2 linked regions of the Tamandua tetradactyla genome follow. The protein of the gene in region 2 purifies or fractionates together with the protein of the main gene of each other region. This does not show direct contact. Links are inferred from orthologs where the notes say so. Each region holds a gene or a part of one and is shown on either strand. Other genes may lie near its edges.

Region 1 (10,716 bases), on a different chromosome or scaffold from region 2:
AAATCATGATTACGTTGGCTGCATCTGCAGCTGATTGCATTTGTAATCAGTTAAGGGGAGTGTATTCTACAATGAGTGATGCTGAATCTAATCACCAGAAGGCTTTTAAGGATTCATAAGGGACAGTCACTCTTCCTGCTGCAGCTGGCGAGCCTCTCCTATGGAGTTTGTCCAGATCCTCCATCGGAGTCTTCAGCCTCACAGCCTGCCCTATGGATTTCGGACTCTTCCATTCACACGGTTGTCCAACCAGCCTCTCCTGAGAGTTCATTAAGGAACTTCATCCGAGTTACCAGCTTGCGGCCTGTCCTACAGACCTTGGACACTACATTCTCATGTAACTCTGAGAAACTTTTATAAATTTTATATCTACAGATATCTCCTGCTGATTGTTTCTCTAGAGAACCCTAGCTAATGCAACCTTGAAACAATGTCTTTTCCTTCCTTCCTTCTTTCCTTCCTCCTTTCTTTTTTCTTTTTGCCTTCAAGGACAAAATATTCTCCTAGATCCCTCCTTCCTCTCTTTGCTAGCTTTTTCTCAGCCTCTTTTGTTAATTCCCCCCTTAGCTCCCTGAATGTTTTAAATGATGGCACTCCCCGTGACTCTCTCCTTGGAATTTTTCCTTTTCCTATCCTCATATACTCCCTTGGTGATCTCATTCATTCTGATCAGGATTTTTAACACCATTTACAAACTGATGACTCCAAATTTATATTTCCACTCAAACGTGTAATAATATGTGACCAAAACTGAGATACTGACTAAACTCCCAAAACCTGCTTCTCCTGTAGCTTTCCCAGTCAGGAAATGGCAGCATCTTTCTTCTGCTTCCTCAGGCCCCAAACCTTTGTGTTTCTTCTTCTCACACTCCACATCCAACCCACTGGCTACATTTTACTATTTCTTTAATGCCTATCTAGAATCAGTCACCCAGTTACTGCGGTCCTGGTCACCCTGACCAAAGCTGATATAATTTTTTGCATAGATTATCACCAAAGTCTTCCAACTGCTCTTCTTGCCCCTTTTCAGTCTATTTTCTACACAGCCAGAGTAATCCTTTTTTAAAAAAAAATATTTATTAATAAAACTAATCAACATACAATATCAACATTCTTTTTTTTCCCCATCACATAAGTATATTCATCATCATGATCACTTCTTAGAACATTTGCATTAATTCAGAAAAAGAAATAAACAGAAAATAGAAAAAAATTCATACATATCATACCCTGTACCCCTTCCTTTCATTGATCACTAGTATTTCAATCTACTAAATTTATTTTGACATTTGTTCCCCCTATTATTTATTTATTTTTCATCCATATGTTTCACTCATCTGTCCATAAGGTAGATAAAAGAAGCATCAGACACAAGGTTTTCACAATTACACAGTCACATTGTAAAAGCTGTATCATTATACAATCATCTTCAAGAAACATGGCTACTGGAACACAGCTCTACATTTTCAGGCAGTTCCCTCCAGCCTCTCCAATATACCTTAACTAAAAAGGTGATATCTACTTAGTGCTAAGAATAACCTCCAGGATAAACTCTCAACTCTGTTTGGAATCTCTCAGTCACTGACACTTTATTTTGTCTCATTTTGCTCTTCCCCCTTTGGGTCGAGAAGGTTTTCTCAGTCCCTTGGTGCTGAGTCTCAGCTCATTCTAGGATTTCTGTCCCTCATTGCCAGGAAGGTCCACACCCCTGGGAGTCATGTCCCACGTAGAGAGGGGAAGGGTGGTGAGTTTGCTTGTTGTGTTGACTGGGAGAGAGATGCCACATCTGAGCAACAAAAGAGGTTCTCTTGGGGGTGACTCTTAGGCCTAATTTTAAACAGGCTTATCTTGGGGGTGACTGTTAGGCCTAATTTTAAACAGGCTTAGCATATCCTTTGCTGGGTTAAGTTCATATGAAGAAAACCCAAGATTGCGGGTTCAGCCTATTGCTTTGGTTATCCCCACTGCTTGTGAGAATATCAAGAATTCTCTACTTGGGGAAGTTTCATTTTCCCCCTCTCTCACCATTCCCTAAGGGGACTTTGCAAATACTTTTTTATTCACTGTTCAAATCCTTCTGGGATTTATCAAGGCATCACAGAGTCATCATTTTTTAATAGGTAACTCAGGCCACCTTTTGACTCACCAAAGATAAGTCACTTTTGATGGCTTTCCAACTCATCCTAAGAAAAAGCTAAAGTCCTTCCAATAGCCTCCAAAACACTCTGTCGCCTAACCAACTCCTCCGGCCCCCTGACCTCTCATACTTTCACCCCAGGACCTTTGCACTGCTTTCTCATCCCAGGATGCTCTTGTCCCTTACTGCTGCACACTCCCTCGCTCCCCTCCTGGCCTTTACTTAATTCCTCTTTTCCGAAAGGCCTTTACTTACATTCTATCTATAATTGCAACCTTCCATACTTTTCTACTCTCCTTCCTTGCTTTAATTTTCTCCTTGACAATTATCACTGTCTAACCTGCTTCTTAATATTTCTTAGTTATCCTATTTATAGTCTGCCTTCTCCACAGGAATGTTTCATGAGGGCAGCGATTCTTGTGCGTTTTGTTCACTGCTGTATCCCCAGCGCCTATAGCACTCCTTGATCCACAGAAGGGGCTCAAGAAATCTTTGTTGAATTAAAATATTTCTTAATGAATGATCGTTCATCTAATCGAACAGCAAACCTATTCAGATCCCTCCCACCACCGTATCTCTGAAATACAGTGTTTAGCTTTCTGGACACTTTCAATTTCGGCTCCACTGCTCCAGACCTGACCTGCCGGCGCCTCGGTGAAGCGGAGCTAGGTAACAGCACCTCCCTCACAGGGTTGCAGGAAGGATTAATAGCTCGTGGTACGTGCGTGTGAACAGGCCCTGCTATTATTCGGTGCAGGGAGAAGCGGGGTGAGCAGGTGGGAAGGGGATGCGGGTCTGACATGAGGGGGCTGGCGGCTCGGAGCAGCCCGGGCGCCTCAAGAAGGCGGGCGGGCGGGGGGCGTTGCGCTGCGGCCAAGCACTTCACAAAGTACTTTTACTTTCTTCACTCATATTCCTCAGAAACAAATCTTGGCAGGTGGGTATTCGAATCCTCGTTCTACCGTTGGAAACGGCGAAGACGTGCCCGAGTCCCGGCAGGTTCCAGCCCGGGCGCCCTGGCCACAGCGCCCGCAGCCTTCCGGGGGACGGCCCGGGTCGTCGGCCCGAGACCCCGGGTTCGGCTACAAAGTCACTTCAGACGCGGCGCTCGGCTGGGGGCGGCAGAGGGCGGTGGCCTTCGGGGGGCCTCGGGACGAGGCGCGAGGACCCTCGAGAGGAAGGGCGCACGCGAGCGCCGACGCTCTAAGGGAAACGCAGCTCCTCTCCGCGCAGCCCCTCCCCTGCCCCGCCCCCACGGGGCGGGGCGGCAAAGCGCGGGAAACGCGGTCTCGGCCCTCCCCCTGCCGCCGGGGGCGGAGAAAAGGAGCGATCTTAAACGGGAATTGGAGTGGGTCCCGCTCCCACGCTTAGGAAGCCGACCAGTACGGCGCTTTAAGGCCTTCGGAAATGGCCGAGGCCACGCCAGCACCCGAGCGTTACCTCCTCCCCACTTCCGGTCTTCACGCTGGTCTCAGGCCTCCGCCCCCAGCGAAGCTCTCCTTCAGAGGGAGATGCTGGGGTGACGCTTTCGCCCAGGAGCTGCCCGCGCGACGCCGAGGGGCGGAAGACTCCCATACGTTCGGCTTATATGACGATTCTGACAGTTGAGAAGCCGCGAAGAAACGGTCAACCAGATGACGTAATGTTTTGGGTGTCGTCCCATTCGTGACGTCACGCACGGCATGACAGATTGCGGGTTAGCTTGAAAACGGATCCGCAAACGGATCTGCACATCCGCGCCCCACTCAGAAATCGACTTGGCTCTTCTCAGCATGCCCACCAAATGACTGAGAATCCTTTCATTTGCATAAGGGAACTGCAGGCTTAGAGGAGCGCAGCCAATGGGCAGTGAGGTGCGAGAACGCACCTGGACGACTACCGCCTCCAACAGGAAAGCGGAATCCCAGCTTGGCTTTTCTCTAAGCGACAGTAGCATCTACCAGTAGCTTTGAGACGCACAGCCCGGGCAGGTGGGCGCCGGCGCGACCAATGGGGAGAGGCGGCTTCAGAGGGCCTCGGGCCCCTGCCCAATGAGGGTACGAGGCCTGTGCGGGGCGAGCCCAGAGCGGCAGTGCTTAAGGCCAACCGTGCGCGGGATTGGGAGGGGCGCGGGCCTGAGCGACGGGGGCGCTGTCCAATGGCGAGTGTGGAAGCGGGCTGCCGCGACCCGGCGCGCGGAGGGACCTGAGGTGGGGGGGGGAGGCTGAACGGGAGAGAAGCAGGAAGTAGCGGCGGCCGCGGGGAGGGCGGCGGCGACGGCGGCGGCTGGAGCAGGGCAGAGACCGCCGCGTCCCGGCGGGCCTCGGAGCGGAACGAGTAAGGTTGCTTGGGGTGAATACCCGCCCCCGGCCCCGCCCCCCGGGGGGCGGCCAGGCCCGCCCCTCCCCCACGGGGCTACCTACCCCCCTCTCCGCACCGCCCCCCTGGGGCGGCCCCTGGGAAGGCGCTGCCACCCCTCGTCCCTTGCGGCGGGGGTCGGGGTTCCCGGCCCGTGGAAAGCACAGCCCCCAGCCCCCAGCCCCCAGCCGGGCGAACGTGGCAGGGGTCGGGGACCCCGAGTCCCGGGGCCGCCGGCTCCAGAGGCGCCCAGCGCGCGGCCGGGGACCGAGGCTGCGGGATGTCGCGACCCAAGATGGTGCCCGGGCGGGGGCGGGGGCGGGGGCGGGGGCCCGGCCGGAACGGATCCTGCTCCCGGACTGCGCGCCAGCCGGCACCGGGGGGACGGGACGCAGGCTGGCGCCCGGGGCCGCCGCACCGCGTCCGATCTCTCCCCCTCTCGAGAGACCGTCCAGAGTCCGGCGGGGAGGAGGTTGTGCCGCGCTGGAACGGGAGGCGAGGAGGCAGGAGTTGGGGCGAACCCCGGCCGGAGGACTGAGAGTCGCGCGGGGGTCGCTCCCCGCCGCCGGTGTCTGCCGCGGGCCCCGCGCCGTCCTGGCCCGCCGGTGCTGCGCCGCACCCCCAAGGGGCCTGGCCTGACCTGGCCGGGGCCCGGTCTTGCCTTCGCACGCCGCTGGGAGCGAGAGAAGTGCTGCGCGCCTCAGTTTCTCCTCTGGCACCTGTGCACACCCCGCCCCCTCCCAGCAGCTCCGGACGTGCGGCCCGCGCCGGCCCTCGGCAGATGGCAGGGACTTAACTCCGCCCGCTGCCCAGCCTGGCCGCAGGCTAATCGGCCGGGGCCCCTCGCCCTCCTGTCAGCGCTCACTGCGCAGCAGGCCGGGGCCCAGGCAGAGGGCAGTGTAGCCCTCACCCAACCCTCGCCAGGTCACCCTCTTCCTGTTCAGCCCCTTCCTTTGGCTTTTGGGGAAGAGCAGAGGGAAGGGGCTGGGGGATGGGGGTGCACGGGATCCCAAGAGGCAGGGCCCTGCAGCCGCAGGAAGGCCTGGTCCGAGCCTGAGCAGTGGGGTGGGAGGGGTGGGAGGGGTGGGAGGGCCTCCTCGGCCTTGAGCTGCGCGGCTTAGTCTGACTATCGCATGACCTCTAAGTGTTTTGGACGTCAGAGGGAACGGTGGCTGGGGGGGCGAATTCTCAGGTGTTTATCACAGTCCGCTGGTCTTGCACCAACAGCCCACTTTTCTGGGGACCTGAGTGGGAGCTTCGCGCAGGCTTCTCCAGGTTGGGAGGGAGCCAGGCCGAGGAGGGCCTTTGCCGTCCATCAGGGGTGAAGGGCTTTGTTTAAACCGAGTCTGTAGAATTGAGGGGGAGGGGGAAAGGAAGACTCTGCTTTCTGCCTGTAGTTGGTACCCTCTCCCCCCACCCCCACCTTGGTCCCAGCAATGCCAGCTGCCACCTGCTGGGGCTATCTCCAGTTACAGTCTAAAGGCTGGAAAGAGGTGGTGGAATTGGCCCTGGGAAGTGGCTTGCTTGCTTGTGTCTTGAACAGGGAGTATGTAAGAATAGAGATATTTTCAGTTGTTTCTTCCTAGATAAAGAAACACTTGTGGGGAGATACTGCTAGGTTGACGGACTTGGGTTCCTTCCACTCTCTAAGCTCGCCTTCTTGTTGGTTGAGTGCCTCGTAAGGCCCACATAAATCTTGTGGGATTTTGGGTACTGTTCTGGGCTAGGTAAGGTGAAATTTCCTGGGCTACTATTGCCAGAAGAAAATTAAAAGTGTGAGGAGTTTGGGTTAAGGAATAAACTGGTGGGGGGGGGGAGCTCAGAGCAGAAACTGCAGGCTTGAGGGAGCCTGGCTTTTCCCCATGGTGCCTGACTGTGGTGGATAAGCTTGTACCCTGGAGTTTTAGCCCTCAGAGAGCAAGATGAGAAGGGAGGTGGGGAGCAGGGCTGGCTGGGGGCGGGCCCAGGCACTCTGGGGAAGATAGGTGAGCGAGCAGCAGGTGTTTGTGACAGGACCTGCATAGCCTGGGGCCTTTGTGACCAGGGTGCTGTCACTGTTTTCCTCTCTTTCTTTTCTTTGTCTCTTTCTGTTCCTGTGTCTTTTTCTTACCTTTTCAGTCTCTTAGGTAATTTCTCAGTGTCCTTTCCCCTATGTTGACCAACATGGATCTCCAGTTGCCAGGGATGACCCCAGCTGTCCCAGACTTAACCTTACATGACTCTTGACAATTGTCTCTGACCCCAATCCTAGATTTCCAGTGTTTATTCCTTCCCAGCTCTTCCTTGACCTGACATACCCGTGTTTGACCCAGCTATGATAATAAATTGTATTCCAGGTTCTGAGTCTCACAGTTTCATATCATGCTCAGAATAGCCCTTTACTGTATGGATTACTTGCCCCTTCTTTGAAATGCAAAAGTAAGGCAGTGAAGTAACTTGCTTATAAAGCAAGGCAGTGATAAAAAACTGGAACAAGAATCATTTTTTATGTCTTGGTTTAAGTCACTGCCCCTTTGAACACATGGCCTTTCAGCTCTCTGTGGATCCCAGAAGATCCATGAAGAATATTAATTGATCTAATGCTGACATGAAAAAGCCCTTAAACCTAGAGCATAGTGTACTCCGCCTGCCTTGGAAATAGCATGGGTTAGTTTAGTTGGTTCTGGGCTGGGCACAGGGCAGGGAGAGGCAGTTTTAATCAAGATGCTCACTAAACTCACTCTGCTTAATATCTGTGTCTGTATTTCTGAGAGGTCTTTTCTCTGCTTTTTCTGGATCTGGGTATCTCCTGTGGTCTGTGTACAGTACCCCCTTCCAATTTTAGGGTCTGGCAAACAAGCCACCTCCACCAGCTCTCTAGGACTCAGGCTGTGGTGGAGCTGTATCCAAGTCCAGTTCTGAGAGGGGATAAGTATGGAGATCATGCAGGAGGAGGTCTAGGGTTCTTGCTTCCAGAGGTCTCAGTTTCTCCCTCTTTTTGTCTGTTTTCATCAGGTCTGGGACCTGCTGCCATGGGGGACATGAAGACCCCTGATTTTGACGACCTCCTTGCTGCCTTTGATATCCCTGACATTGATGCGAATGAAGCCATCCACTCTGGGCCAGAAGAAAATGAGGGGCCGGGAGGCCAAGGAAAGTCAGAATCCAGTGTGGGAGGTGAATCTGGAGAAGCAACAGCCGCAGCTGGTGGGGATGACCCTGGGGCTCCAGCCCAGGCCTGTGACCATGGCCTGCCACCTCCAGACATCTCGGCAGTCAGCGTCATTGTCAAGAACACTGTATGTCCTGAGCAGTCTGAGGCACTGGCTGGGGGTTCAGGAGAGGAAGGGGCCCGGAGCGGAGGGGTGACTAAGGAAGGACCTATGGGCCATCGTCTGATACAAAATGGTTTTGGGGGCCCTGAGCCATCCCTCCCAGGAACTCCCCACTCTCCAGCTCCTCCAAGTGGGGGTAGCTGGAAAGAAAAAGCCATGGAAGGCAAAGCTCCCTTAGATCTCTTTGCTCATTTTGGGCCTGAGCCAGGGGAGCATCCTGATCCCCTGCCTCCCTCAGCACCCTCCCCACCTCGGGAAGGGGCCATGACGCCCCCTCCTTTCCCCTCTCCATTTGAGCTGGCCCGGGAGAATGGCCCAGCCCTGCTGCCCTCTGATTCTTCCCCACCACTAGGGACTTTGAAACAGGGCAGCAGCAGCCCCCTTCATTCCCAGGGCCCAGCTCGGCTCAGCTCCAGCTCCAGCCCCGAGGCCACGGGCCTTCCTGCCAGCAGCTCACCTCCCCACGTTGCTGGGGTGCCTTTCTTCAAGCAGTCTCCAGGACACCAGAGCCCTCTTGCCTCTCCCAAAGTGCCCGGCTGTCGGTCTCTAAAGGAGGAGGAAGAAGATGATGAGGGGCCGGTGGACAAGTCTCCCCCAGGAAGCCCCCAAAGTCCTTCTAGTGGAGCTGAGGCTGCGGACGAGGACAGCAATGACTCCCCTGCGTCCTCCAGCTCCTCCAGGCCCCTCAAGGTGCGGATCAAGACGATTAAGACATCCTGTGGGAATATCACAAGGACTGTAACCCGGGTTCCCTCAGACCCTGATCCCCCGGCCCCTAGGACCGAAGGGTCCTTCCTGGCTGAGACTAACCTCCTGAAGCTGTCTCCAGCACCCCCAACTCCGGAGGGTCCTAAGGTAGTGAGTGTCCAGTTGGGTGATGGCACGAGGCTAAAGGGCACTGTGCTGCCTGTGGCCACCATCCAGAACGCCAGCACTGCCATGCTGATGGCAGCCAGTGTGGCCCGCAAAGCTGTGGTTCTGCCTGGGGGTAATGCCACCAGCCCTAAGACAGTGGCTAAGAATGTGCTAGGCTTGGTGCCCCAGGCCCTGCCCAAGGCAGATGGGAGAGCAGGGCTGGGGACAGGAGGGCAGAAAGTGAATGGTGCCTCAGTGGTAATGGTACAGCCTTCAAAGCCAGCCACTGGGCCAGGAGCTGGGGGTGGCACAGTGATTTCACGGACCCAGTCCAGCCTGGTGGAGGCCTTCAACAAGATCCTCAACAGCAAGAATCTGCTGCCTGCCTACAGGCCAAACCTGAGTCCACCGGCTGAGGCGGGGCTGGCCTTGCCTCCCACGGGCTACCGTTGCCTCGAGTGTGGGGATGCCTTCTCCCTGGAGAAGAGCCTGGCACGGCACTACGACCGCCGGAGCATGCGCATCGAGGTCACCTGCAACCACTGTGCCCGCCGTCTGGTCTTCTTCAACAAGTGCAGCCTCCTGCTGCATGCACGAGAGCACAAGGACAAGGGGCTTGTCATGCAGTGCTCACACTTGGTCATGAGGCCTGTAGCCCTTGACCAGATGGTAGGGCAGCCAGACATCACGCCCCTGCTGCCTGTGACTGTCCCCCCTGCCCCTGGACTTCCAGCCCTGCCTGCCCTGGGCAAAGGAGAAGGGGCAGTCACCTCCTCCACCATTACAACGGTTGCCACTGAGGCCCCCGTGCTGCCACTTTCATCTGAGCCACCTGCTGCTCCTGCCACCTCTGCTTACACATGCTTTCGCTGCCTGGAGTGCAAGGAGCAGTGCCGGGACAAGGCTGGCATGGCCGCCCACTTCCAGCAGCTCGGGCCCCCTGCTCCTGGGGTCACCAGCAATGTGAGTTGCCTTTCACAGACCTTCCCTGGGGAGGTGGGACCTATGAAGGGTTGGGGGTTGATTAGGAGAAGTAATGGGGGACATTTCACTCCTTACCAACTTACCTTGTTCCAATGCCCCCCAACAGGTATGTCCAACCTGCCCCATGATGCTCCCTAATCGCTGCAGCTTCAATGCCCACCAGCGCATGCATAAGAATCGACCCCCCCATGTCTGCCCTGAGTGTGGGGGTAACTTCCTGCAAGCCAATTTTCAGACCCATCTCCGGGAGGCCTGTCTGCATTTCTCTCGCCGCGTAGGATACAGGTGTCTCACAGCTCTGTTTTCTTGATATGCTTTTTATGTCTCCTAGCATCAGTCTTTTAAATGGTCTCTCAAGGAGAGCTCTGTTCTCTCCTGCTGTATCCCCCAGGTCTGTTGTGTTGGGAAGCTCAGCCTGACAAACCATATTCTGCCTTCCCATCATTCCCATGGAAATGGGGGATGCTGGCCAAGTCCCCCACCTCTGGAGCTCAAGCTCTCGAGGCCTTCCGTGAGAAAGTGAATCTCTATAGCTGCCTTCTTTCTCCATCTTGCTCATGCTCCACTGTTGATTTCCTCAAGTCTCAGAGTCTGCGCGGTCCCTAAGAATGAGTGTGGGATGGGGGGTGGGCATGGAGAAGCCCCCACCTCACCACAGTGCCTTCCACTTCCTTCCCAAGGTGCCCCAGCTGTTCAGTGGTATTTGGGGGCGTGAATTCTATCAAGTCCCACATCCAGACGTCGCACTGCGAGGTTTTCCACAAGTGCCCCATCTGCCCTATGGCCTTCAAGTCTGCGCCGAGCGCCCATGCCCACCTCTACACCCAGCACCCCAGCTTCCACACGCAGCAGGCCAAGTGAGACCTGGGGAGGGAGCGCCAGGAGGAGAGGCTGGGGCAGGGGTTGGGCCTTGAACAGGGCTGAATGGGGGAGGGCTCCTATCCCTGCCTGATGTCCGTGCTGTCCTTACACCTTTGTAGGCTGATCTACAAGTGCGCCATGTGTGATACAGTCTTCACTCACAAACCCCTCCTCTCCTCACACTTCGACCAGCATTTGTTGCCCCAGCGTGTCAGTGTCTTTAAGTGC
Region 2 (10,716 bases):
CTCTGTGCCTGTTCTGTAAAATGGAGATAACGGCACCTCGCTGAGTCACGGAAGGATTAGATGAGTTAATTCACGTATAAGATCTTAGGACAGTACCTGGCAAAGACTAAGCATTCGATAAATGTTACTCTTTTTTTAAAAACTGAGACTCATTCCTCCTCCTTCTTCCCCACCCACCATTCTAAAAATACAGCCTCGCTTTCTCACAGGAGTATGTTCAACCAGTGCCAAAAGTTCAAAGTTACAGAGAACAGGAGGCCAAAATCGGCCAGGATGTGATTTCTCCACTTCCATCAGACTGTAGGGCTGCCTCGGGGAACGGGGAAGGCAGGGTCAGAGCAGAGGTTGACCCTGCCGGGGCTGGGACGGCAACCGCAGCCAACACTCCCCGTAACTGCCAGGCCTCCCCAAAGCCTGCTTCAAACAGGGCCACACGCTGCTCTCCCAGGAGCAGGAAAGCAGAGATGGGCTCATCATTTCAGGGCACGCAGCAAATGCAGACACAGAGCAGATACCCAGAAGGCCTCTCTACCCCAGACCTGCAGGTCCTCCCAGCTAGTCATTGCATCATTGCATCATCATGAAACAAAAGCAGGGAATGTCCTCCGGGGAAGGGAGCAGGAATGGAAAGTGGGGAGCGAGGGATGGGGTGGGAAACGGGTGACTCTCCTCTTACAGCAGAGAATGCCTAAGCAAAGGGGACAGACCTGCGGGCGGAAACCCTTGTCACCTGCTCCAGCCCTGCGCGTCTACACCGCAGAGGCCGGGCAGCTCCTGCAGCAGGGCTGGCCGCACCGGGGACTGTGCCGCGCCTCTGAAAGGCCCCGCCTGCCAACGGCTCCTCCAGACCCAGGGACAGCAGAGCTGGCGTGGAAACGAGGCAGTGGGACAAAGGGGCCTTTCTCAACGTAGGGAAATGTCACTGGACCGGGAACCCCGTGAGCTCCAGAGGCAAAGCCTGGGAGAGAGATGCCCAGGGCCCAGATGCCTGAGCCGTGCGCGGGCACTTACCTGCCATGGGGAGAGCGGCGCGGCGCGGGGGGCCCGGCCTCCCTACTCGCAGAGAGCAGAGGCTGACACACGACAGACATTCCTGCTTCCGGATCCTCAGCGGCCTCTCCCAGGGGGAGGAGGAAGCAGCAGAGAGGCCAGACTCGGAGGCCCCGCGCGCCAGGCCAGCCCTGGTCTTGCGCATGGGGTCCGCCACCACCTCGGAGGGGCAGCAACCTGCCTCAATGTCCCCGGCTTGTGGCTCTAACTCATCGCCCGCGACAGCAACTCGGCTAGGAGGGAAGTCTTCAGTACACAGCACTCAAGAGCCACTTATTTCACCAGATGCGAATCAACAAACCAAATCAGGGTGGTTCTGCTGATTGAAGCAAGAATATCAGAAGGGGGGTGGGGGGGGGCTGTTGTGGTTGTATTTAAGGTATTTTTTTTTAATTTGTAACTAATTCAGATGATCTTTAGTTGTGATGTGCCTGTGTTGGAAACAAGAAAGCCATCCTTTCCCACACGCACCCTGTATGACTGCGTGTGTGTCTCTCTTGTTCTCTCTCTCTCTCTCTCTCTCTCTCTCTCTCTCTCTCTCACACACACACAATAATGCAGAAGTGGCAATTAAAGGGCACAGTCATATGTAAAAGGTGAACTTCCAAACTAGCCTGGCAGGACCGAAATTGCTTCCATCTCTGGAAACGAGGCTGATTTACAAATGAATTCAGTGTTTAGCTCTCAACAACCACAGAGCCAATTGCGACGCGGGCTGCCCTTTTCCTCCTCCTAGCTGGGATGAGGCCTTTTGGAAAAAGGACATCTCAACAGGAATTTCCTGGTTCAAGAATTCCAACCTCGGTCAAACCTCACAAAGGGGGCCCGGGGCGGAGCCCAGCTCCCTACAAGAAACCGCGGCCGGCGCCCACCCCTCGGCAGCCCCAGAAAGCGGCGACGAATGTGTGCGCATTATCTGAGGCCCTGCAGACCCGACCAAATCACCCAGGAGAATGTGGAAGAACCGGTTGCTTTTGGCCCTCACATCGGAGGTGGCTAATGAGGGCTGGCAGAGGGGTTCTGGCGGCTGAGACCCATTTGTATTATTTATCCCGGCTCCAGGGACTCGGCCAGGGCGGGCCTTGGGGGGTGCCGGGGGCAGGGACAGCATTCCCGTCTCAATCTCGCCTCACCCTCCCATCCCCCAGCCACGCTCGGGTTCAGGAAAGCTCAGGTGCCCGTGGCTTTCAAACTGCAACAGGGAATTGCGGCATCGGAGAACCAATTCAGAGACAAAAAGAGTTCTGTGCCAGCAGCAGCTGAAGCACAGAAGAGCTGAGAGAAGGGAAGGGAAGGAAAGAGGCTTCGTCGAAAGGGAGGTAGATAAAGGAAGCGCCACTGGGAACCGAGCAACGTCCCTCCACGCCCCGGGGGCCCCTGCTTCCCATTTGGCCTCTCCAAAGTCACCTTAACGGAGACAAGAAAGTTCTCTGTGCAAGGGTAGGCTTCTACAGCCACCTCACAGCGGTCCTTCGAGAGAAGACGGGAAGTAACCTCAAGGTCCACTAACAGCAGACCGCGATGCGATAGGTTATGATGCAGCCATAGAGGAACCACACTGTATGGACTGGCACAGAATGAAATCCAAGTGAAAAAAAAGGCCAGAAATAGAGTCCGTGTAAAAGAAACAGGGGTCTGCGTTTAGAAAGGGCTGGAAGAGCACGCAGGAAACTATACCTGCAGGACTCCGCTTCGAAGTCTTTGCGGTCATGTTGCTGTATTTAACTGCAGATACTTTTAAATGGCTGTGGGGTCCACAGATAAGAACAGATAACATTCTGGGGGCTCTCTCTCACTACCCGCCAGGCACACAGAGGCCCAGGCACGGTCCCCATCTGCAGGGCCTACCCCAGCGGGCTGTCAGTAGGCTCTCAATACAAGCTTCCAGCACCCATCGGGTGCCCCTCAGAAGGGGCTGCTCAGACATGCTGCTGCGCATCCCGCGATGCACAGGACAGCCCCCCACGACAAGGACTGACTCAGCCACAGGAGCCCACGATGGCAAGACTTGAGAAACCCCGGTGCAAGGAAACTTCCTTGTGTAAATAAATAATCCACGCCTGGCGGCATGTGCACCCATGAAGAAGGAAAACGATGCCTAATGCTTCTTCCACTCAGCCTGACTTCAGCTATCAAAAAGAGAAAAGGAACAGGACCAGTGAGTCAACAAATAAGAACTGAGCAACTATGGACATCCGTGCTGCCAGGGGAGCCGGCAGGTCCATCCTCATGGGCAGGGAGTCAGGAACAAGAGCGGGGGAAAAAAAGAGAAAAGAGCTTCCTTTTGTGCAGCCCTTTCGGATCTGCAAGGCATATTCTAAAAGACACCTATGGACTGACTTACACTGCAGTTTTCGAGGTGGTGTGTACCGAGAATATCCCCATGTAATCAGCAAAGAAACTGAGGTCCAAGAGAAAGGGGCCCACGGGGAAAAGTGGCTAGTAAATGTAGAATGATTGAGAAACCGGTTACAGATGGACAAAAAGCTGGGGCGGAGGGGAACAACAGGAGTTTGTGTATGTACAGAGGGAAGTGGGGTAGCTAGGAAACATTTCTGTATTTCCTTCTCAAACCAGGCTCATGCAATTCACAGCTGCTATTTACTGAGGAGCTACTTTATGAATTGCATAAGGTCATGATGCTGCTTCTATCCCCATTTTACAGGTGAAGCTCAGGAGGGCAAACTCACTTATGCGCATAAAGCCCGGGGGGCACGGGCATGCCGGGGATTCCATCCTGGCTGGGTCTAACGCCACAGCCCTCACCTGCACCGGTCACCTGGTCACCTGCCTCCCTGACGTGAGCGGCACCTGATGACTCCCAGCACGAGGCCGAAGCCCACACAGACAGCCTCTGCCAGGAGCGTAGGCTCCGGGGCCAGACCCCTAGGTAGCTATGAATCCAAGTGCCGCCATCTGCCCGCTATGCACCCCTGCACACACTGTTAGTCTCTCTGTGCCTCAGTCAATGCAGCTATAAAATGGGTATAACATGGGATCTTCCTCTAAAGGGTTCTTAGGATTAAATGACATAATACATGTAGGGAACAGCATCTGGCATATCAAAGCACCAAGGACTGTTACTATTATTAAAACCCACTAGGGTAAGCAGGTGCCAGAGCAGACAACCCAGAAACCTCGAGCTTCCCCACACCCATTGGTATCTTCACCATGGTTTGCACTGGACTAGTTCTTCCCAGCCGTTCCAGGAAAAGAGAGTCACCTGGTGAGAAACACAAAACTTCTACAGGAAACTCTCTCCAGCTGGCACAGGTTCCACCAAACCAGACTCACAATCCCCCCAGGGCTCAGGCTTTCTCTCCGGGGAGGCCACAATCCCAGCCCCACCCTCCCTAATTGACCTTATTTCCAAAATAAATGCAAGTTTCTCCCTACTCAAGTGAGGCCCAAGGCCCAAGGAGTCTGGTACTGATCCTTGAGTAGATCAAGTCCAGACTCGATGGGTTGTGTGGCCTCTCTCTGAGTCCCAAATGCACCGAAGAATGTCAAACCTTGCAAGGTTTGGATGAAGACGCCTCGGCCAAGATGTTTTCCTTCCCCAGCCATCACTTCTGCCCTATCCAAGTTCGGTCCAACCTTCAGAGCCTCGCTCAAACGCGGCCTTAATCCAGACAGGTACCTGGATGCAGTAACACCTGCTACTTCACAGGTGCCAGGCTCATCCAAGCCCTGTGACTGCCCACTGGCTGGCCTGCTCCCTCACCTGCCCCCCATCAGCCTTCTTCAAACCTAACAAGACCCTCTCCTCCTTCTTCCCTCCAAGATATGCCTTCGTTCTTGGAATACAAGACCCAACATTTTCAAGACCTAGATGCCCCAACTGATGGGGTCCTGCTCACCTTTTTTCCTCCATTTGCTCAGCTCTAACCATAAAGGTCTCCTTTCTGCTCCGCACAACAAGCCAAGCTCAGCTGCACTTGCTGGCTCCTCCATCTAGAGTGTTCCATGCCCCAGCCTTCCATAGCAGGCAACTCTGAGCTTTTGGCTAAGACGTCATCTCCCGGCAGAGGCCTTCTGGGAGCTCCCCCTGCCTCCAGACTCCTTATTATGTAACTTCCACCTTAAAAGCAATTTTCTCTCTTTGTTTATTGTGCCTCCCCCAGAAGTGTGCTTCACCTTACCTAACTGTCCTTCTCTGCTGTAGCACAGGCCTGGTACACGGCCCCGTAAACACATGAGGGTGCAAAAAACAAGCCCCGGAGGGGGCAGCAAAGGCCCCCCGTGGGCCAGCCGGGCCTGACCCACAGGCCACTCCAGCTTTTCGTCCCCAGACTCAGAATCTCTCCCAGCAAACCCAAACGGCAGGAGGGTTGCAGAATCAATGGGGCAGATCACACAAGGGAAGCTGGCCATTTCAGAGTCAGAAAATAAAAAACTAGAGCAGAAAATTCCCTTTTTCTACAGGGCTCCATCCACTCTTGCCTCTTGCTTAAAGGGCCATTTCCCCACAAGGGTTCCAGGTTCCCTAAATAAGGACTTCTATGCAGAAAGTGATTGTTGAAAAGTGAGGAGGGGGACTAGGAGATTTTCTCAGGTCACCCATACTTTCAGAGCTATTGTTTCAGAGTCATTTACCAAAGAAAACAATGATTTTCCCCATGGAAAACACACTCCCTGCTAAGAGAGGCTTCCCACCTCCCACAGAGCTCACCACTTCACCACATTTTTTAGTCCTGGGTTCTTGTCCTTTTAAGTGTGAGAAGCCCTGCCCAGCACCTCCCCCTGACCCCCGCCTCCTGTGTCTCCATTTCTGCCTGTGCAATGCAAAGCAATGAGGGCTCAGCCTCGGAAAAGGGAAAGTAAAAAATTATTTTACAAGTTCATCTTTCCCCATCCCACTCAATGGGCATGAGGCAAGAGGCATTAAATCTGCTCTGTCCTCCTCCTTCTAGGTTCCCTCAGGTTTCTCAGTGTCAGCATCTAGCCAGGGTTAGATAAGTCTAGAATTTAAAGCTACAGGTCTGTCGGGCAAGATGTCCCTCAACGCTCACCAACTACTAAGGCACCTGGTCCCAACCCAAGAAGTGGACATGCGAGCCGCAGGGCAGCCCCTAAAGGAAGAGCAGAGATGGGAGTTACTGAAATCTTCAAGGAGATGGGGACACGAGCAGGTCAGACCTAAGAGGAGAGTCACGTGACAGTAGGCCACATAAACTAAAGTGATACAGAAGGGGAGTGGTCAGTGACAAGGAAACCGATCGAGGAGGCCCTACAGCCACCGCCTAGACCGGAGGTGGCCAACGACAGGCCGGCAGGGCGGCAGGCCGGAGTCATCCACAGCCAGATGTGGCTCTTAAAAGGAGAGAGGAAAACAATTTGGCAGTTTCTCAAAAAGAGAGACCAGCCTAGGAGCCCAGCAATTCCACTGCTAGGTGTGTAAAGAATTGAAAACGGGAACTCAAATAGACACTTGCACACCGTGTTCACAGCAGCATTATTCACAAGTGCCAGAAGGTGGAAACACACCTAGCGTGCACCAACAGATGAGCGGGGAATCAGAGCGTGGAGTATATACACAAGGGAAAGTTACGGCATAAAGCGGAATGAAGCTGGGACGCATGCAAATGACATGGAAGAGCCCTGAAGGCACCACGTTGAGTGAAATAAGCCAGACACCAAAGGGCAGATATTAAAAAATTCAATTTATGTGACTATCCAGACCAGGCAAATTCATGAAGGACAGAAAGCAGATTAGAGGTTACCAGAGCCTGGGGGAGAGGACATTGGGAGATCACTGCTTAATGGGTACGGAGTTTCTGTTAGGGTTCATGAAAAGTTTAGCAAATAGAGAGTGGTGATGGTTGTGGAACGTTGCAAATATAACTGATGCCACTGAACTGTACACTTAAAAATGGTTAAATGGCAAATGTCACGTTATATCTATTTTACCGTGATAATTTTTTCTTAATTTGGGAGAAGCTGTATGAAAAAATTCAGACTCTTACTTTTCTGTTAAAAAAAAAAAAATCAGAAGATCCAGCCACATGGGATGGCACTTCCACATGCAGGGACCTTCCAGGGGGTACTCTGGGGACGGAAGGCAAACTCCCATTTGTCAAGGTCTCCGTTTCTCTTACCTTTTATACAATTACATCTAAACTTAAAAACTGCTTTAAGAATCTAACGGGGCAGGAGAAAGCAAAAAAAGGGAAGAAAATAAGTAGAGAAGTCAGAGGTGGGGGATGCTTTGCTAGGATGGCTGCATTCTAAAAAGTCCAATTCCATTATGTCCGCATGGTATAGATCTTATGTCTTTATAACCACAGACAGGACAAAAGTGTAGGTGAAAACACACTGAGCTGTTGGCCTGGCTACCTGGCAGGAGAGGATTTTCAGCTTTTTATCACTGTATATTTTGTCCAGTTGTAACACTGATTTTTATGCACTGGAAGGAAAATTCAATAAACTGGTTTTTTTGTGTGTTGGTTTTTTTTTTTTTTTTTTGCCCTTAAAGTCAATTTACATTTCTCGGTAGATAAGCTTTATTAAAAAAAACCACATCTACTGAGCAGCTATTAACTGGCAGCCCCATGTTAAAGAGGTGCCCGAGATTAAAGTGGAAAAGTTGTACACTCTGTGCTGCGTGGTGTGGCAGCCACATGTGCCTGTAAAGACTTGACATGTGGCTAGTGAGACTGAGGGCTGAATTTATTTCATTTAATTTCAATTAATTAATGTAAACGTAAGCCATCACACGCCGTCAGTGGCTACTGTGTTGGACAACAGGGCTGGAGAAGCTGACTATCCACCGACGGGCAGCAGGGATGGCAGGAGGGCAGGAGCACCTACGAAGCTCCCTCCCTCCCACAGGCTCTCAGGATTCAGTAGTTTTCTTACAGGCAGAATGATTTGATGCTCAGAAATGAGTATGTGGCCTTGCTTTTGATTCTTCCTTTAGTCTTGTCTGGAAATTCTCAAGCCTTGATTTAGTATGCATAAGAACTCCTGATGTGAGCTGATGACAGTGCTTTCGTGGGCAACTGAAGGGACCATTCGGCTGACTTTGACACCCAAAAGGTTCCTCTTTAGGACGGAGTATGTGGGGGGCTAAGAGAGAAGGACAAGACCTCACGGGTGTGGACAAGGCGAGGGGGCGGCTCAGGAAGCAGCTGGAAGGAGCTGCAAGGTGACTCAGCAAGGCACAAGTGTGGCAAGCCAGGCAGGCTGGGTAGGAGGGACAGGTCTGCAGGGCCGCAGCTGTGCTGACCAAGGCCGGACCAGCAAGGACACACAGAGAAAAGCCGTGATGACGGTGGTCTCGAGAAGCCACTGGAAATTTAAAGCAGGAGTGGACAACTGGACGTGTGTGTTTGAAAGATCTGCTCAAAGTGGGATTAAAACATTGGGGAGGAAAGAAATCAGAAGGAACAGAACCATTTCAAAGGGCATCATGTCTCTCTCTCAAAGGAAAAGAAAGGCAGGCCACCAATCATTTCAAAGAGAGCAGTCATTTGAGCATGGATAATTATTTCCAGACACTGGATCATCATGGAAACAAAGTCAGTCTCTCTAGCCCGAAAGATTTTCCTTCATTCTCCAGGATAAGAGTTCTATCCATCAGATATACAAAGCCAAGACATTCATTCATTTGCTCAAAAATTCTTACTGTACAAGGACGAGAAAAGACATATGGAAAAAAAGTGATGAGCATAAGCAAAAGGCAGACCTCAGCCTCATTTGGGGCCTTGAAATAGATGGATAGAGGGGAGCTGAGAGGAGAAGGGAGAAAGGAGAACATTCCAAGTATGAGCAAAGGCCCAGGGGCCAGAGATAGCTCTGCCAACGCCCTGGAAGGTCAGGGTATAACACGGCAAGAGAGGAGGCTGGAGAGGCAGACGGGGGCCGCCCAGGATGAGGATTTTAGGATTTTGATCTTCATCCTAAAACCAATGAGAAAGCACTTAAGAGTTTCAAGTAGAAGAGAGAGTGGCCTGAGCAGAAATGCCTTTCGCAAGCATGGGGGGTGGGGGAAGTGTGGCAGGCAGAGGCAGTGAAACTGGCCAAAAGACGGCTACAATCAAGAGGGACAGCTTGGGGAGGACCGACAGTTAGGATGATGTTCCACTTTAAGAAAATGACACAGGAGGCACCACAATCAAGGATGAGTCCCGTATCTGTCGCTTAGACAACTGGCAGAGGGCTCACTCGCCAGGGAGGATGGCAGAAGTTCCATTTCTTGGCAGAGAGGGGTGCTGAGATGTGAAATCAGTTTTGCACATGTCAAGTTTGACACCCATGGAACAACAGGTAGGCAGGTGGCTATCTGCTTCGTAACTCAGGGTTGGAAAGGTAAATTTGGGAGTCATTAAGCTACAGAGGCAGGTGATGTATATCACCCAGGAAAAGAAGATTCCGGAGGAGATGAGGAAAATGTCTCTGACAAGCTTTCAGCAACCCTAACACTTGATGGCTAAGAAAGAGGAGGAGGAGGAACTGTCAGAGAAGTAAGAGGGAAATCAAGAGTATGTTGGCAAAAAAGTCAAAAGAAGGGAGTGTCCAGGGGGAAAATGATCACCCAGGTCCGGTAGTGCTGAGATCAGGTGAGCTGAAAACTGGAAGCCTCGGCCAGAGAAAGCAACAAGGGAGCCATGAGAAGTGAGAACCAGTGACATGGAAGGACTGGGTGGGAGCCAAACTGGAATTGGCAGAGGGCAACGGTGGAGGAAAAGAAACCAAGACTTGAGTTCTGATACTTCGAGGAAGCTTGAGGAAGCTTCTTGAGGAAGCTTTGAGGAAGCTGCTAGAGGCAGGACAGTAGCTGGCAGGAAAGACGAGGGGTCAAAGGAGCAGAGTGGAGGGACTTGGGTATGTCCTGCGCCTTCCACAAAGCCGCTGCCCTTTGACCCAGCAATTTCACTCCTAGGTGTGCACCCAAGAAAAACAGACACAAATCCACACAAACACACACAACATACGTTAAGAGCAGCCTTATTCATAGCAGACAAAAAGCAGAAACCCAAGTGTCCAAGTAACAAACGGCTAGAAAAAGTGTGGTCCATCCATGCAACGGAGCATTATTCAGCCGTGAAACAGAAGGAGATGCGCACCCACGCTACGATAGGGACACACCTTGAAAACACTGTGCTCAGTGAGAGAAGCCAGATATAAAAAGTCACAGGGTATATGACTCCACTTATACCAAACGTTCAGAACAGGCAAATTCACTGAAAGAGAAACAGGTCAGTGGCGACCAGGACCTGGGAGGGGCAGGAAATAGGAGGCGGCGCTGATGCCATGAGGGATCTTTTTGGGGTGATGAAATTGTGCTAAACCTTCACTGTGGTGACTCAGACGACATGACTCTATGAACATACTATATATAAATCATCGAATCGTACACTGTAAGTGGGTGAATGGATGATGATTAAATTGTATTTCAAAAAGCTGTTTAAGAAGAGGCCTGTGAAACACTGGCTCTCCAGGCTCCCAGGAGAGTGGGGGTTCAGGGGACTGTAACATCACATTCACACTCACACTCGTCCCCCCCACGCGAGGCACGCTTTCCACACTCGTCTCCAATCATCAGTGAAGGATTGACCACCATCAAGGTAAAATGTACCGATGGACTGAAACTTTCAGAGAACCAACCTGTGCCTGGGTCTCTGAAGGACCTAAACCGGGGTACATTTCTTTCCCTACAGGGAT

Evidence for each region.
Region 1: the proteins of ZMYND8 (region 2) and ZNF687 purify together in Homo sapiens (affinity purification with mass spectrometry; 4 studies listed by BioGRID and IntAct, with this or other methods). This does not show direct contact. The link is inferred for Tamandua tetradactyla from reciprocal best matches to the Homo sapiens genes ZMYND8 and ZNF687.

Annotation. Positions count from the first base shown.
Region 1 is NC_135330.1:4,161,030-4,171,745, reverse strand, and holds the start of ZNF687 (zinc finger protein 687), read left to right. Parts: upstream 1-5,580; 5' UTR 5,581-5,607; coding exon 5,608-5,749; intron 5,750-7,468; coding exon 7,469-9,606; intron 9,607-9,733; coding exon 9,734-9,912; intron 9,913-10,307; coding exon 10,308-10,484; intron 10,485-10,607; coding exon 10,608-10,716. UniProt on the Homo sapiens protein: May be involved in transcriptional regulation.
Region 2 is NC_135327.1:5,018,349-5,029,064, reverse strand, and holds the start of ZMYND8 (MYND-type zinc finger-containing chromatin reader ZMYND8), read right to left. Parts: upstream 5,900-10,716; 5' UTR 1,196-5,899; coding exon 1,012-1,195; intron 893-1,011; exon of another isoform or gene 708-892; intron 1-707. UniProt on the Homo sapiens protein: Chromatin reader that recognizes dual histone modifications such as histone H3.1 dimethylated at 'Lys-36' and histone H4 acetylated at 'Lys-16' (H3.1K36me2-H4K16ac) and histone H3 methylated at 'Lys-4' and histone H4 acetylated at 'Lys-14' (H3K4me1-H3K14ac).